Arabidopsis thaliana: one gene and its partner. The protein of the gene in region 1 interacts with the protein of each later gene in a biochemical or structural test. Each region holds a gene or a part of one and is shown on either strand. Other genes may lie near its edges.

Evidence for each region. The genes of interacting proteins can lie anywhere in the genome.
Region 2: the proteins of AT3G03770 (region 1) and NIK3 form a complex in vitro, tested with the Arabidopsis thaliana proteins (one large-scale study listed by BioGRID).

The regions. Positions count from the first base shown.
Region 1 is NC_003074.8:944,570-951,164, reverse strand, and holds AT3G03770 (Leucine-rich repeat protein kinase family protein), read left to right. Parts: upstream 1-1,926; 5' UTR 1,927-2,286; exon of another isoform or gene 2,287-2,369; 5' UTR 2,370-2,461; intron 2,462-2,662; 5' UTR 2,663-2,728; coding exon 2,729-4,064; intron 4,065-4,158; coding exon 4,159-4,292; intron 4,293-4,385; coding exon 4,386-4,626; intron 4,627-4,722; coding exon 4,723-4,928; intron 4,929-5,001; coding exon 5,002-5,045; intron 5,046-5,213; coding exon 5,214-5,325; intron 5,326-5,404; coding exon 5,405-5,717; intron 5,718-5,839; coding exon 5,840-5,862; 3' UTR 5,863-6,088; downstream 6,089-6,595. Other genes in the region: LBD20 (LOB domain-containing protein 20), read right to left, coding at 6,492-6,595.
Region 2 is NC_003070.9:22,382,892-22,389,798, forward strand, and holds NIK3 (NSP-interacting kinase 3), read right to left. Parts: upstream 4,876-6,907; 5' UTR 4,041-4,875; coding exon 3,935-4,040; intron 3,811-3,934; exon of another isoform or gene 3,554-3,810; coding exon 3,424-3,553; intron 3,339-3,423; coding exon 3,267-3,338; intron 3,186-3,266; coding exon 3,042-3,185; intron 2,934-3,041; coding exon 2,862-2,933; intron 2,763-2,861; coding exon 2,703-2,762; intron 2,619-2,702; coding exon 2,527-2,618; intron 2,436-2,526; coding exon 2,289-2,435; intron 2,203-2,288; coding exon 1,861-2,202; intron 1,774-1,860; coding exon 1,382-1,773; intron 1,052-1,381; coding exon 710-1,051; 3' UTR 502-709; downstream 1-501. Other genes in the region: ACLA-2 (ATP-citrate lyase A-2), read right to left, coding at 5,800-5,871, 5,956-6,072, 6,161-6,277, 6,373-6,474, 6,563-6,658, 6,742-6,823.

The DNA of each region.
Region 1 (6,595 bases):
TGTTGAACAAACCATCTAACCTAATTTATTACACCGCAAGACGAAAATGACACACACACACACACTCCTCTAGGCTCTAACGTACGTCTTAATTAAGTATTTGCTTTCGCTTTCTACAAATCACTTTAATGTAGTGTATATATATTTATGTGATAAAAACAGAATAATGTAACATATGAATGCATGATAGTAATCAAGAAAAAAACATAAAATAGTCGTATAAATGTATTTCTATGAAATAATCTCAAATTACTTCACTTAGCCAATAAATTTTCATAATATATTAATTTTATAGTTGCCAGTCGATCAATTTTCACTACCAGTTAAAATAGTCGTATAAATGTATTTCTAGCCGTTATTAATTTTCTTTTCGTCTACCAAATTAAAGATCAATCTTTTTTTGTTAAGGAAAAAGAAATCGAAATTGGAAATTACCACGTTCTATTTCGTATTGTTTAAAGTTGGCTAGTCGATTATAAGCTGCACCAACAATTTTTAGTTTTATTTAAACTATGATTGTATACGACGACATTGACTATTGAGACATGCAACCAACAGATACAAAACAAAACTAACCAAAAAATGAAACACGCAAAATGAAGGAAAAAAATAAGATAAATTAAAATTAAATATTTATTCCTAAACGATGCACAGAAAAATCTAACAGAAGAAGATGCTTATATAAAACCAGGTGGACTAAAATTTCACAGAATTTTGTTTTCTTATGTTTGTAAGCATTTACTTTACTTGTTTTCTTATACCTGCAACTATGAATCATATTAAAAAAAACTACAAGATTAATAAAAAGATGAATCACTCATGGCACGTGAGAGTAGTCAAGAGATTAAGACATCATGCCTTAGTTTCAATTTAATATGATTAAATACACGAGTTTAGTTTAAATTGTTTGTTAATTTGATTTCCAATTCCTTGCATGTTATTCTTTATTGATCATATTATATGTGAGCTAATTTGTTGTATTAAGATTGTTTTCTTGAACTTTGAAAAGGTCGGAGAAGATTGGGACCTACATGTGTCACTTTAAAAGTCTGGTGTGACCTTTCTGATGGAGATGCCTTCGTGCGAAAGCTTACATTACAGTATGTGTCACAACTTCGCTTTCTTTTTATTTTCACCTTAAATATATATATTACCTCTTTCAGATTTAAGTTTTTGGATGGATCTTTTTTTTTTCTTTCAGTTTGGTTTTAAGCCTAGTTTTTGATAAAATTCCGGTGTAGTTGTTGTGGTTTTTATGTTTAGTTTGTTTTCAGCTTTCTTACATGATCAAAATTCAAAACAAAATTAGAGTTACACTAATTTACTTGGTTTTGTTTACTCATTCTTGATTAATCTTGTTTAACTTAGCATACCCAATTAATTGATAGACAGACTTTTCTCAATCAAATTAATATTCATATAAGAAACTTTAAAAAAATATCAAAATTAAATCTATACTATATAAAGACTTGTTTGCCTCAGACTCGTATTTGTAGATCATCCCCCTAAAGGCCTAAACCCTAAAAGAATATTTCTCTTATCATTACCTTTTTATCTTTCTTTTTTTTTTTGTCTTTTTACTTTTTCTTGGCCACAGCTTTGGCTGGAGTGGATTTCTCTTTGGTCCCTATTTTTTTGAAAGTGATAATATAATATGAACATATTTAATGCTGATAAAATAATTTACTTTGTGTACTGTATAAATAGTGAGACAACCAAAAATAAAAAGATCAGAAAAAAACGTCGGCCAGACCCTGTTGGATTCGCTTTTTTTTTTTTCTTTTTTAATTTGTTAAAAATGCATGTGAACACTTACAAGATTATTTTTTGGACAAAAAAATTCTATTTCTATTTTGTTTGTTTGTTTTAAAATTATTTTTGTAAAAAGAATTTATCGTTGTCTTCATCTCGTGATGGAGACTTAGAGAGGAGGACCAAACTCTCTGTCGTTAGCCACTGACAATTTACTAAATCGTATGGTTGCTAAAATGTTTTTGCATTGATTTTACAGAATTTGTTTTTGTTTATTGTCTATTTAAAAAATAAAAAAAGTTTGTTGGGTTAATATTGTTCCCAGAGTATCCTCTGTTTTATTCTTATAAGATATAATAATCACTCGTGAAGGAATCTTGAATGTTTTTAAAGCTCCTTGAGGAACTTTCATCTCTTACAGAGGATTTTCTTGGGAACTTTTCTCACTTTCTTCTTTAAATCAAGTTGCTACTTTTTTTGTTTCTTTAGATAAAATCGATATTCCATTCACAGTTACTTCATAAGTTTGCAGAGGTATTTCTTCATCTCAAAGGAAACGATTTGTCTTTTCATTTTCTCATTCTTCTTACTCTGATGAAACCAAATTTTGTTTCCAGGAAAAATAAAATTTAATCTCTTGTGCTCAAAAGTTTCCTGCATCTTTTCTTCTTGCAAGGTGTCTTAAAGAGGAGATTCTGTAACACATGTGGTGAGTTCTTCCTGTTTTTCTGGAATTCACATGCAAAAATCATATTTTTTTAGTTTGAAGATTGATTTCTAAGATTCTCTTCTGTTTAATGCATTAACGAGAAAGTGGTTAAAATATCAAGATCTTGAGAGTGGACCCTGTTTTGTAAGTACATTATATATAAATGTGATTCTTGAATGAAATGTGTCTCTCTCTTTGCAGGTTTTGATGATGATGCTTATATGATTTTATTTAGTAGTTGTGTGTGTTTTATGGTCTTGTGTGGCTATGGAGAAACTCTATTGTGGCATGCCGTTACTGCTTCTGGTTCTGCTTTTAGCTTCCATTGATGGCTCTACACAGCTACAATCATCTCAATCTCAAACCCTCTTGAGGCTGCAACAGCTTCTCTACTATCCCAAAGTGTTAAACAGCTGGAACAACTATACAGATTTCTGCAATTCTGAGCCAAGCCCTTCGCTAACCGTTGTGTGTTATGAAGATAGTGTAACGCAGCTTCACATTATAGGAGACAATGGAACTCATATGTTACCAAAGAGTTTCTCAATAAACTCGTTTGTTACTACTCTTGTTAAGCTCCCTGATGTTAAAGTTCTCACGTTTGTGTCCCTTGGGTTATGGGGTTGGTTACCTCAGAAAATCAACCGTTTATCCTCTTTGGAGATTCTCAATGTGAGTTCCAATTTCCTCTTTGGACCAATCCCTCATGAACTCTCGTCGCTTGCTACTCTTCAGACGCTTATACTCGACGAGAATATGTTTTCTGGTGAGTTACCGGATTGGATTGATTCTTTGCCGAGTTTAGCTGTGTTGAGCTTGAGAAAGAACGTGCTTAATGGGTCATTGCCTTCTTCTTTGAGTAGCTTGTCAGGTCTTAGAGTTCTTGCTTTAGCTAATAACCGGTTTAATGGAGCTTTGCCTGATTTAAGCCATTTGACAAACCTTCAAGTGCTTGATCTTGAAGGAAACTCTTTTGGACCGTTGTTTCCTCGGTTAAGTAACAAGCTGGTTACTCTTATACTCAGCAAGAACAAGTTTAGATCTGCAGTTTCAGCTGAAGAAGTAAGTTCTCTGTATCAGCTTCAACATTTGGATCTTTCCTACAATACATTCGTTGGTCCATTTCCTACTTCCTTGATGTCTCTTCCCGCGATAACTTACTTGAACATTTCACACAACAAACTCACCGGGCGGCTTTCAGCAAATCTTTCTTGCAACTCACAGCTGATGTTTGTAGATATGTCATCAAATCTTCTTACCGGAAGTTTGCCTACTTGCCTTAAACCGAGTTCCGGCACTAGCAGAGATGTTGTCTATGCAAGCAACTGTTTGGCTACTACGAATGAAGATCAACGTCCAGTTTCTTTTTGTAGTAATGAAGCTCTTGCTGTTGGAATCCTACCACAGAGGAGGAACAAAGTTTCCAAAGTGGGTATTGCTTTAGGTGTAACCGCAAGCATTCTCGGGGTACTTCTCCTCGCCGGTGCCTTATTTGTGGTTCTTAGGAGATTAAATGCTAAGAAAACAGTGACGAAATCTTCCCCAAGATTGATTAGAGAGAATGCTTCAATGGGGTACACATCGAAACTACTATCAGATGCAAGTAAGAGGATAAAATATCTCTCACATATTGTCACATAGATTACATAGAACTTGTCTTCATTGATAACTTGTGCTGTAACTGCAATACTTTGAAGGGTATATCTCTCAAACAATGAAGCTAGGAGGGCTCGGTCTTCCAGCTTACAGGACATTCTCACTGGAGGAGCTCGAGTATGCAACAAATAACTTTGAATCCTCTGCTTTCATGGGTGAAGGTTCTCAAGGACAGGTACAGCAGTGAAGCTTCAATCTTTCTTTAGCTAGTTTCCATTTTTTGAACAGTTGAATCAAACAAGATTTTTGTTTTCATTGTTCTTTTCAGATTTATAGAGGGAGATTGAAAGATGGATCCTTTGTGGCAATTAGGTGTCTGAAAATGAAGAAAAGTTGCAGCACACAAAACTTGATGCATCACATTGAGCTCATCGCTAAACTGCGGCACCGTCACTTGGTTAGTGTGCTCGGGCACTGCTTCGAGTGCTACTTGGATGATTCAACAGTCAGCAGAATGTTCTTTGTCTTTGAGTATGTCCCAAATGGAGAACTCAGGACCTGGATTTCTGGTACCACACTGAAACATCATGTGTTTTAAGAATGAAGATGATCATTATATATTTTTTAATAACTAAATCGGATTGTTCTTGTCTCTGCTGTGCTAGATGGGCACATGGGAAGATTGCTTACTTGGGAACAACGCATAAGCGTAGCGATAGGTGTAGCAAAAGGGATCCAGTTCTTGCATACCGGTATTGTGCCTGGTGTTTATGATAACAACCTTAAAATGACAGACATTTTGCTTGACAATAACCTTGCGGCGAAACTCAGTAGCTATAATCTTCCATTGCTTGTGGAAGGTCTTGGAAAGGTAAATGACGATGTCAAAAGTTCGAATGTTTTTGTTTCTTGAATTTTGAATCTCTTTTGCTTTCCTTTCTAAGGTGGGGCAAGTAGGATCTCGGAGCGGACCTAAAGGCACTCCAAGGTGTGTAATAATCTTCTTTACTCTGTTTCTCATCAGCTTGTAAACCCGGTTATATGGTTTAATCCTCTGTTTCTCAAAAGAATCAAAAACGGTTTATATGGTTTAATCCTCTGTTTCTCATCAGCTTGTAAACCGGTTTATATGGTTTAATCCTCTGTTTCTTAACAGCATCAAAGACGAAGATAAAATCGATATCTATGATTTTGGAGTGATATTGCTTGAACTTATAGTGGGAAGACCATTGAGAGCAAAGAGTCAAGTCGATGTTCTAAAAGAGCAGGTAACACCATTCGATATATATGTAGCTTGATGTGGAATCGCTATCATCTACTTTAAAAACTCTTTTTTATTTGTTGTAGTTACAAGCAAGCATTTCAGCGGATGATGGAGCACGTAGGAGCATGGTGGATCCAACGGTCCATAGAGCTTGTTCAGACCAATCACTGAAGACAATGATGGAGATATGTGTAAGGTGTCTCCTTAAAGACCCTTTAGAACGTCCTTCCATTGAAGATGTCCTGTGGAATCTTCAGTTTGCTTCTCAAGTTCAAGAAGGTTGGCTACAAAACAGCAATCCCTCGAGCAATCTCGGCTCGCCTTCTCCTGCTGCTTCCTCTCTTCCTCCTCCCTCTCGTTTACACGTAACAACACTCGAATCTCCCCGAGATTCAGGTATTTTTGAACTCGATCTTTTATGATCAATTGATTCAGTTCAGAATAGAATTTGATTGTTAAAGATTTGAGATTGAATAAGTTTATTGATCTGAGACTTATTTGTGTGGTTGTAATTGCAGGATGTGAAGAACATGAGAGGTAGAGAGACGAGGGTTTTTGTTTGGTCTTGTTCACTGATCACTACTCTTTGGAAAGAACATAACCTTTTTGTTTGTAATTTGATGTTTGTTTTTGTTTTTTTGTCTTTAGTTGTGTTGAGCTTAAACGATCATAACAGTTAATAATATAGTTAATTTTTCTTATAAACTTTACTTAAAAGAACAGTGTCGGTTAATTTTTATTCTTCAAAAGGAATACAAGTCCAACAATGGTGAGATAATTTTGGAAAATTCAATCGTTTTTTCTTCCTGTTTTGTTCAGCGAAAATAAATTAAAATTGTATATAGAAATTGAGATGGAACCGATTTCTAGGGTTTAGAAAAGATTTGCTTGATTGATTCTTCTTGTCCAAGAAATCAAAATAGAGGATAATGGCTGGTGTTGGATCATCAAATCCTTTACTTATTTATTAATTTGGATTCGTATGTAAATTCAGTTAATTCCAACTAGTATGATAATTAACCAATAACTACATGCATATATCTCATTCAAATATTTCACGACAACTCTACATGTATAGTATACGTCTGCTGGATATACTTATTCTCTTTCTCAACATTATTATAAAAACGGAGATATATTTAAATTAAAGACAAACCCTAGGTAATACATTCATCTCCGGTGAAAATCCTCCGCCGGAAATATAACCTTCGAAGCCACCGCCGTCGATCCAACAGCCACCGAAAAATCAGCACCGCTCTCTTCCTCATCCTCAT
Region 2 (6,907 bases), on another chromosome or scaffold:
GGTTTTGTATAGTGTGTCTGAGGCGAAGTTTAATGCTTCATTACACGTTGACCGAATAGAGTTCGATTCTCTTTATACCGAATTATTTCGGTTTGGAATCTTTAATTTGGTTAAGTGATGAATATATGTTTAGGAATTTTGTTTTCCGGTTTACTCGGTTCAAGGTTTTAGGTTTTTCGGTTTTAGAAAAACTATATCAGAATTTTCTTTCGGTTAGTAATTAGTTTGAACCTTTTCGATTTTGTTTTGGTTTTGGTTTAGGTCAGTTTGAAAATCTTAGATTTGTTTCGGTTTTGCATTGGAGATAACATAGTTTAAACAAATTTAATTTTATTTAAGAATTACAAAAAGTTATACATGCAAATGTTTTTTTTATATACATGTTACAAAATTATTTTGTAGTCCTGAAACTTGATGTATTCAATTCAGTTTATTCGGTATTGAAATTACGTTTAGCTTACAATTCGGTTCATTTCGATTCAAAAACTTTCAGTTCGGTTTGATTTATATGCCATCCAAAATTCTTACCTCACTTTGAAAATTCAAATATTGAGTAATGTGGCAGGCTAATCAACATTTTCTTTTGCATTTCATATTTTTTCTTTACATAAAAATTACACACTCAACTTCACATCTATATCAACATTATAAAACGACAAATAAAAAACAAACCCAAGAAAAGAAATTTTTTAAAAACAGTGAGTCATAATCATCGAGGACCCGAGAGCTCAATGGCTTCTACTACAAGAGACGATTCCTGAATATAATCCGAGTAATACCTCACACGCGGCGAAGAACTCACCATCCCCGGTGGCAATGGCGGTGGCTGATGCTCACCAGTACCGTTCTGCGTCGCTTCCCATCTCTCAGCCAAACCGTCACCTTCAAGCATCTTCATAACTTCTGACATTTTCGGTCGATGAGATGGATTGAATTGAGTGCAGAGTAGCGCAACTTGAACGATTTCTTCGAGTTCTACTCTATCGAACTTGTCATTTAGATCTTTGTCTATTAACTGCTTTAGTTTCCCTTCTTGGTGCAGCTTCTTCACCTGCCATTTTTAACAATCTCATTTCTCAGACCAATAAACCAAACCAAACCAATTCCAGATCAAGCACAAAAACAGAACCAAACCGAATCCAAAATAACAGTTTAGTCTTCAAACTATACCGAATTCAAATCAAAGATAACAGAAAACCAAACTGAGTCTTTTATCAAGCACAAAAACAGAACCAAAATTTAGCCAAAATCACGGCTAATTTATATTTTGTTTTGGTTTAAGTTTTCTATCAAACAAGACTGAACCGAACCAAACCACAATTATGAACAATAGCTTCAAGATTCTAGAAAGTGAAACAAGAAACAGAGAAAAGAGACTTACCCAGTCAAGCATTACACCTTTCTGGTGTGCGGATCTGCCAAAATCAAGAGCTTTCTGACCAGTAATGAGCTCAAGGAGAAGTATGCCAAAGCCAAAGACATCAGTCTTCTCTGAGGACTGACCCGTGGATAAGTACTCAGGTGCAATGTGGCCAACAGTTCCACGGACTGCAGTTGTGACATGAGAGTCTCTATGGTCTAGAAGCTTAGCTAACCCAAAATCACCAACAACTGCTTCGAAGTCCTCATCTAACAGAATGTTAGCTGCTTTCACATCGCGGTGTATAATCTTCGGGTCACATTGCTCGTGTAGGTAAACTAGTCCTCTCGCTGTCCCAACCGCTATCTTCTTCCTTCTCGACCAGTCTAATGCTGGCTCTCCACGGATATTATCTAAACAAAAAATGTAGCAAGATGGAACTATTAAAAACTTGCAAAAGAGCATGAAGAAATTAGCAGTTTTTTTGGAAACTGCATTACCTTTTAAGCGTGATGCGACACTCCCATTTGGCATGTAAGGGTAGACTAAAATTCTCTCCTGGTTGCTACTACAGAAACCGCGGAGCCGGAGGAGATTGCGATGAAGAGCCAAACTTATAGTCTCTACTTCTGTCTGAAACTGGACTTCTCCACCCGCAATGTTACAGTCCTTGAGACGTTTGACAGCCACCAAAGTTCCATCGTTTAAGTGTCCTTTGTACACAATCCCGTATCCGCCTCTTCCGAGAATGTTCTTCGAGTTGAAATGATTGGTGGCAGATCTAAGCTCTTTGAATGTATACCTCTTCAAGTGCCCTAAACTCACTTCTGGATCATATTGTTCTGCAAAATATTAATCATCAAGATGCAAGTGTCAGTTTTGCTCTGCACAAAATGATGTGAAGCCGATAGTATTTCAAGATACTAACCATTAACGTCAAAAAATATTTGCTTGTTACGGCGATATCTCCACCAAAGAAACATTCCGCTTGTAAAGAAAACAAAAAATGCTGCACTGAAGCTTGCGGCAAATGCAAGAGCAACGTGATGGCCATTGGTACGAGTTCCTGATTCATCTAAAACAGAAAGAAGAACCAAAGATGGAAGTGATGAGATACATTGACGCAGAAGAAGAATAGGGAGCTATGAGAAGCAGATGCCTAATACCTGGACCATCTTGTGGAAGCGTGAGAGGCTCGGGAACAGCAGAACAGTTTGAAACAGCTTTTGGGCCACAGATTAACGCATTACCAATTACCCTTCAGTTTAAGAAGCCCAACGCTGAATCTTAGTTTCAGCTTCAACGGAAAGATAAGTTCTTGTATAAGTTTAGTAAAGCTTACTTGAAAGTTCTGGCAGAAACTTTTGGCAGCGAACCACTAAGATTGTTATACGAAATGTCGCTGCACATTAAGAATCAGTAAAAAGTAAGTAAATAAATATTCTCCCAATGTATGTTTTTCCACTGTGAACAATAGAAAAAGCAGGATTTAGAGACTTACACTAGAGTGAGTCCCTCAATCTTGGATAGAGACTCAGGGCAAGTTCCTATAAGACTGTTATTGTTTAACCGCCTGAAAATGAAAATGACAAGAACAGAACAACAGACCACTCAGAATTGAATTGGAATTTTATAAACATGCAACAAAAGAATCATTGTGAAACCGTAAAGGAGCACTCACAAGTAATTCAAGTTCTTGAGTTCTCCAAGTGAGGCCGGTATCTCCCCGGTGAATGAATTGTTCGAAAGATCAAGTGACTGAAGCTTCTCCAACCTCCCAATCGTTTCCGGAATTGGACCAGTGATTGCATTGTTTTGCAACACCCTAAACAACAAAACATTAAGCTCAACAAGAAGCAAAACAGAGAACAAGAATCACATATAGCAAAGACTAGAAAAATCTTACACTGATTGTAAATAGGTGAGGTTTCCGATTCTAGGAGACAATGTACCAGACAAGCTTTGGCTAGGAAGATCCCTGTTTCATTAAGAAAACAAGACAAGTCTTAAAGATCTATCTGGTTTTTTTAATCTAATATACGAGAAGAGAAGAGAAGACTCACAGTGAAGAGACATAGCCATCAGTGCAAGAAACCATTCTCCAGCTACAAGGATCAACTGAATTCACATCCCAATTCTCAAGAACTTTGTACGGATCATTCAATTCATTCTTCACAGCAACCAAAGCTGTCACTGCTCATTTCAGACAAACAAAAAGAAAGAAACTTCAGATTGAAAGAACAAATCTAGCCTCAAAACTCCTATGAATTATCTTATTGCTAAAGCTGCATTTTTCGAAATTGAAATCTTATCCAAGAAAAACCCAGTAAGCTTATATGCAGTATAGTTTCACAGAGAATGAAGTAAACTTGAGCTGCTATTGGCTAAGGTTATATGAGTCTGGTGAGCATTTAAAGCTGTGATATTTATTATCCAATAAAGAAACAAAAAAGAACCTAATCCACACAAACATTCACCAGAATTTTCGGAACAACTAAACAAAATAGACAAAACCAAAGATGATAAATTCATAGAGAAAAAAATTGAGATTTCTCCAAGAAGAAAAAGACTAACCTTCATAGTTTACACCAGTAGGAGAAAGTGTAGCAGAAGAGATATCAAAGAACCATACAAAAACCAGAAATCCTAATCTCCACACCACAAATCTCACACCTTCCATATCCCTTCTTAAAGCAATCAACTTTGGTCTGAACAAAAACAAGTTTCAAAGAACCCACCAACTCATTTTTCTCTCTCCCATATCTGAAAAAAAAACTTAGCTTTTGTCTACTTTTCTTCTTCTCTGTCTTTATTTAGACACAGAAACTAATTTGAGCAATCCATTTTCCAGCAATGGAACCTCTCTTTCTCTGTGATTTCAATTCAAAGGAAGTAAAAAGGAGAAGACCCCAATTGAAAAATGACGACTTGCAAGTTACTCAGCTTAGAAAGAGAGAATTTTTGAATGAAGAAACGATTAAGAGAATGAATGCTAAACGAGCTGTGACAAGAGATAGAGAAGAGAGAGAAAACTCTAAAAGTGTGAAGAGAATTTTCCCGAGAAACCAAGCAAAACAAAAGCACCAAAATGCTCTGAAAGTCTGAGAAATTTTCCTAGAGATCTGAAAAAAAAAAAGCTATTGAGTGATGAGTGATACTAATAGTGCTTCTTGGTTTATATTTTATATCATTTTTATGACTTTGGTAGTAGTTGTTATTGAATAACTAATCTCTATAACATTCTTAATTTTTTCAAAAAAGGTTTGCTTCTAATTCCACACCACTATTACCAAATCATCTAATCTCTCATCTGCCTACTCTTATCATTCACACCACCAATATAAAAAAGGAATTTAAAAATAATAATCATGAAAAGAAAGGGACCAAACAAGCAAAATCCAAAATGAAAATGCCAAAAAATCCACAAACACACACAGAAAGATACTGACAGAATAACAAGAAAAGAAGAGACTCTCTGTTTTTCTCACTTTTTTATAAGTTTTGTTAATTTATAAGCTTTTTATATAAAACAAAATTACTGTGAGGTAAAAAGAATAGTACATTTTTTTTGTTTATGTTTTCATGATTTCAGTTTGAATCCTTTTTATTTTCTGCTTTCGGACAAATGTTTCAAGAAAACACTTTAATATACAAAAATGTGATTAGATTGAAGAGATGGGTCACATAGATGATAAAAGAAAAAACATAAGAACAAGGACATCTCTCTCTTATTTTAATATTTTGCTTTTTAGAAAAAGTTACCGAGAAAAAAAAAAAGTTTTTTTTGATGGGCAGATCACGTTCATGGCCTGTCTCCTATCTTGTTGGCTTTTTCAGGCTTCAATTATTTTACCCCTTTTTGAGTTTTTGATTAAAGGATAACATAATACTTCTCTTTACTACACAAAAATGTAAGCGTAGACGAATTCGTTTACACAAATTTTGTAAGCGTAGATTATGTTTTGCCCACTTGGGATGGCTAAATAGATATTGCAATCTCTTTCCATGACCAGAAAAGGCCCAGCTCAATGAAAATATCCAGAGCTATCACTAAAAACGGGCCCTGATTAATAGAAAAATGGTCCAAATTTTTGAATAGCCAAGTCTAAAAATGGACATGTCTATGACTGTCGATATCCACTTCAGCAAATTGCTTGCATCGTGTGTAAAAGGCTTAAATGCTTCTGATTCCATATCGTTATTTCCTAGTAGAATTTTTGGAGTTGCTAGATAAAAGTTGATTAAATACGTTTTCTTCTGATCTAAGTCAAGAAGAAGATGAGAATCAAAAGAGAAAATACCAAGTAAGAAAAAAGAAGATACTTGTTCTTTATTTATGAATAGTAAGATACATTAGAAGTGAAACATAATCCAAACACGTCTCAAACTCAAGAGACGCTAAAGAGTATTTTGAAAGTAAGTGATAAGATTGTAAAGGCTTATGCAGCCGCTGTGATGTACTGGATTGCCTCCTTGCATATACCTGTCATTGTTGCTTCAGGACCATACACCTTGAAATCAAACAGACATGTAAAAACAGTTAGAAACTGATTAAGCGGGAATGTCTTGAGTTTATTCATTGTGTGTCTACATACCTCGATGGGGACACCGATTTCGTCTCCAAGTGATCTCATTTTAGCAAGTCCCTTTTGGTAGTTTGGTCCTCCTCTCCTCACAAATATATGCATCCTTGCTGCTTTCAGCTTTGCTTCCTGTAAACGGTTAAAGCATGGTTCATTTATACTTGTAGTCAAGGGGCAATGAAGTGTTTGTGGATGATTCTACTCTCTTCTTGCTTACTTTTTCCTTGAGAGCTCGGATTATGCCATTGAAGGTAGCAGCAACATCGGTGAAGTTAGCAATTCCACCTCCAATTACCAGAGCCCTGCTTTTTCCATCCGGATTCGCTGTAGCACACTGAAGAAGCAGTATTATCATTCAGCACCACGACCAAGTCAGGAGTGACTTTATTTTCAGATGCTTTATTGGCAGAAGTTAAAGCAGCATCTTACATCAATGACAACTCTGGCATACTGCAAAACCTCGTCTTCTTTGGGTGCTCCACTGTATTCAGCATAATTGCCAAGCTCAGATGCATACCCGAGATCTCCAACCTGGATAACATTTCAGTAAACACTTTAGAGGCTAAGGCTTCTAAGCAGAAAAATGCAGGAGATTCTCGGTGTTCATATAAAAACATACGGTATCAGCATAGATGACACTTGCACCTCCTCCAGCTACCATAGTCCAAATTCTTCCCTTGGGATTCAGAACAGTGAACTTCAAAGAGGCACTTGTCTGCATATACAAAAGGGTCATAAGTCATAGAGAAACTGGTGTTTCCAGAAGCGTCAATTACTCTACGCTTATTGGTATGATACCTTCTCATCTAGACCGTGGATGAAGCTCTCTGTTGAACTCATCACTCTTCCAAATGGCATGGGAAATTCAATGTCGCCCCACCTGCAAAACGTAAGAGGTTAATCATACCGCCCAAACTCTTGACTTATCATGACTTCTTAAAGCTCTTGACTTCGGAACAGTTGA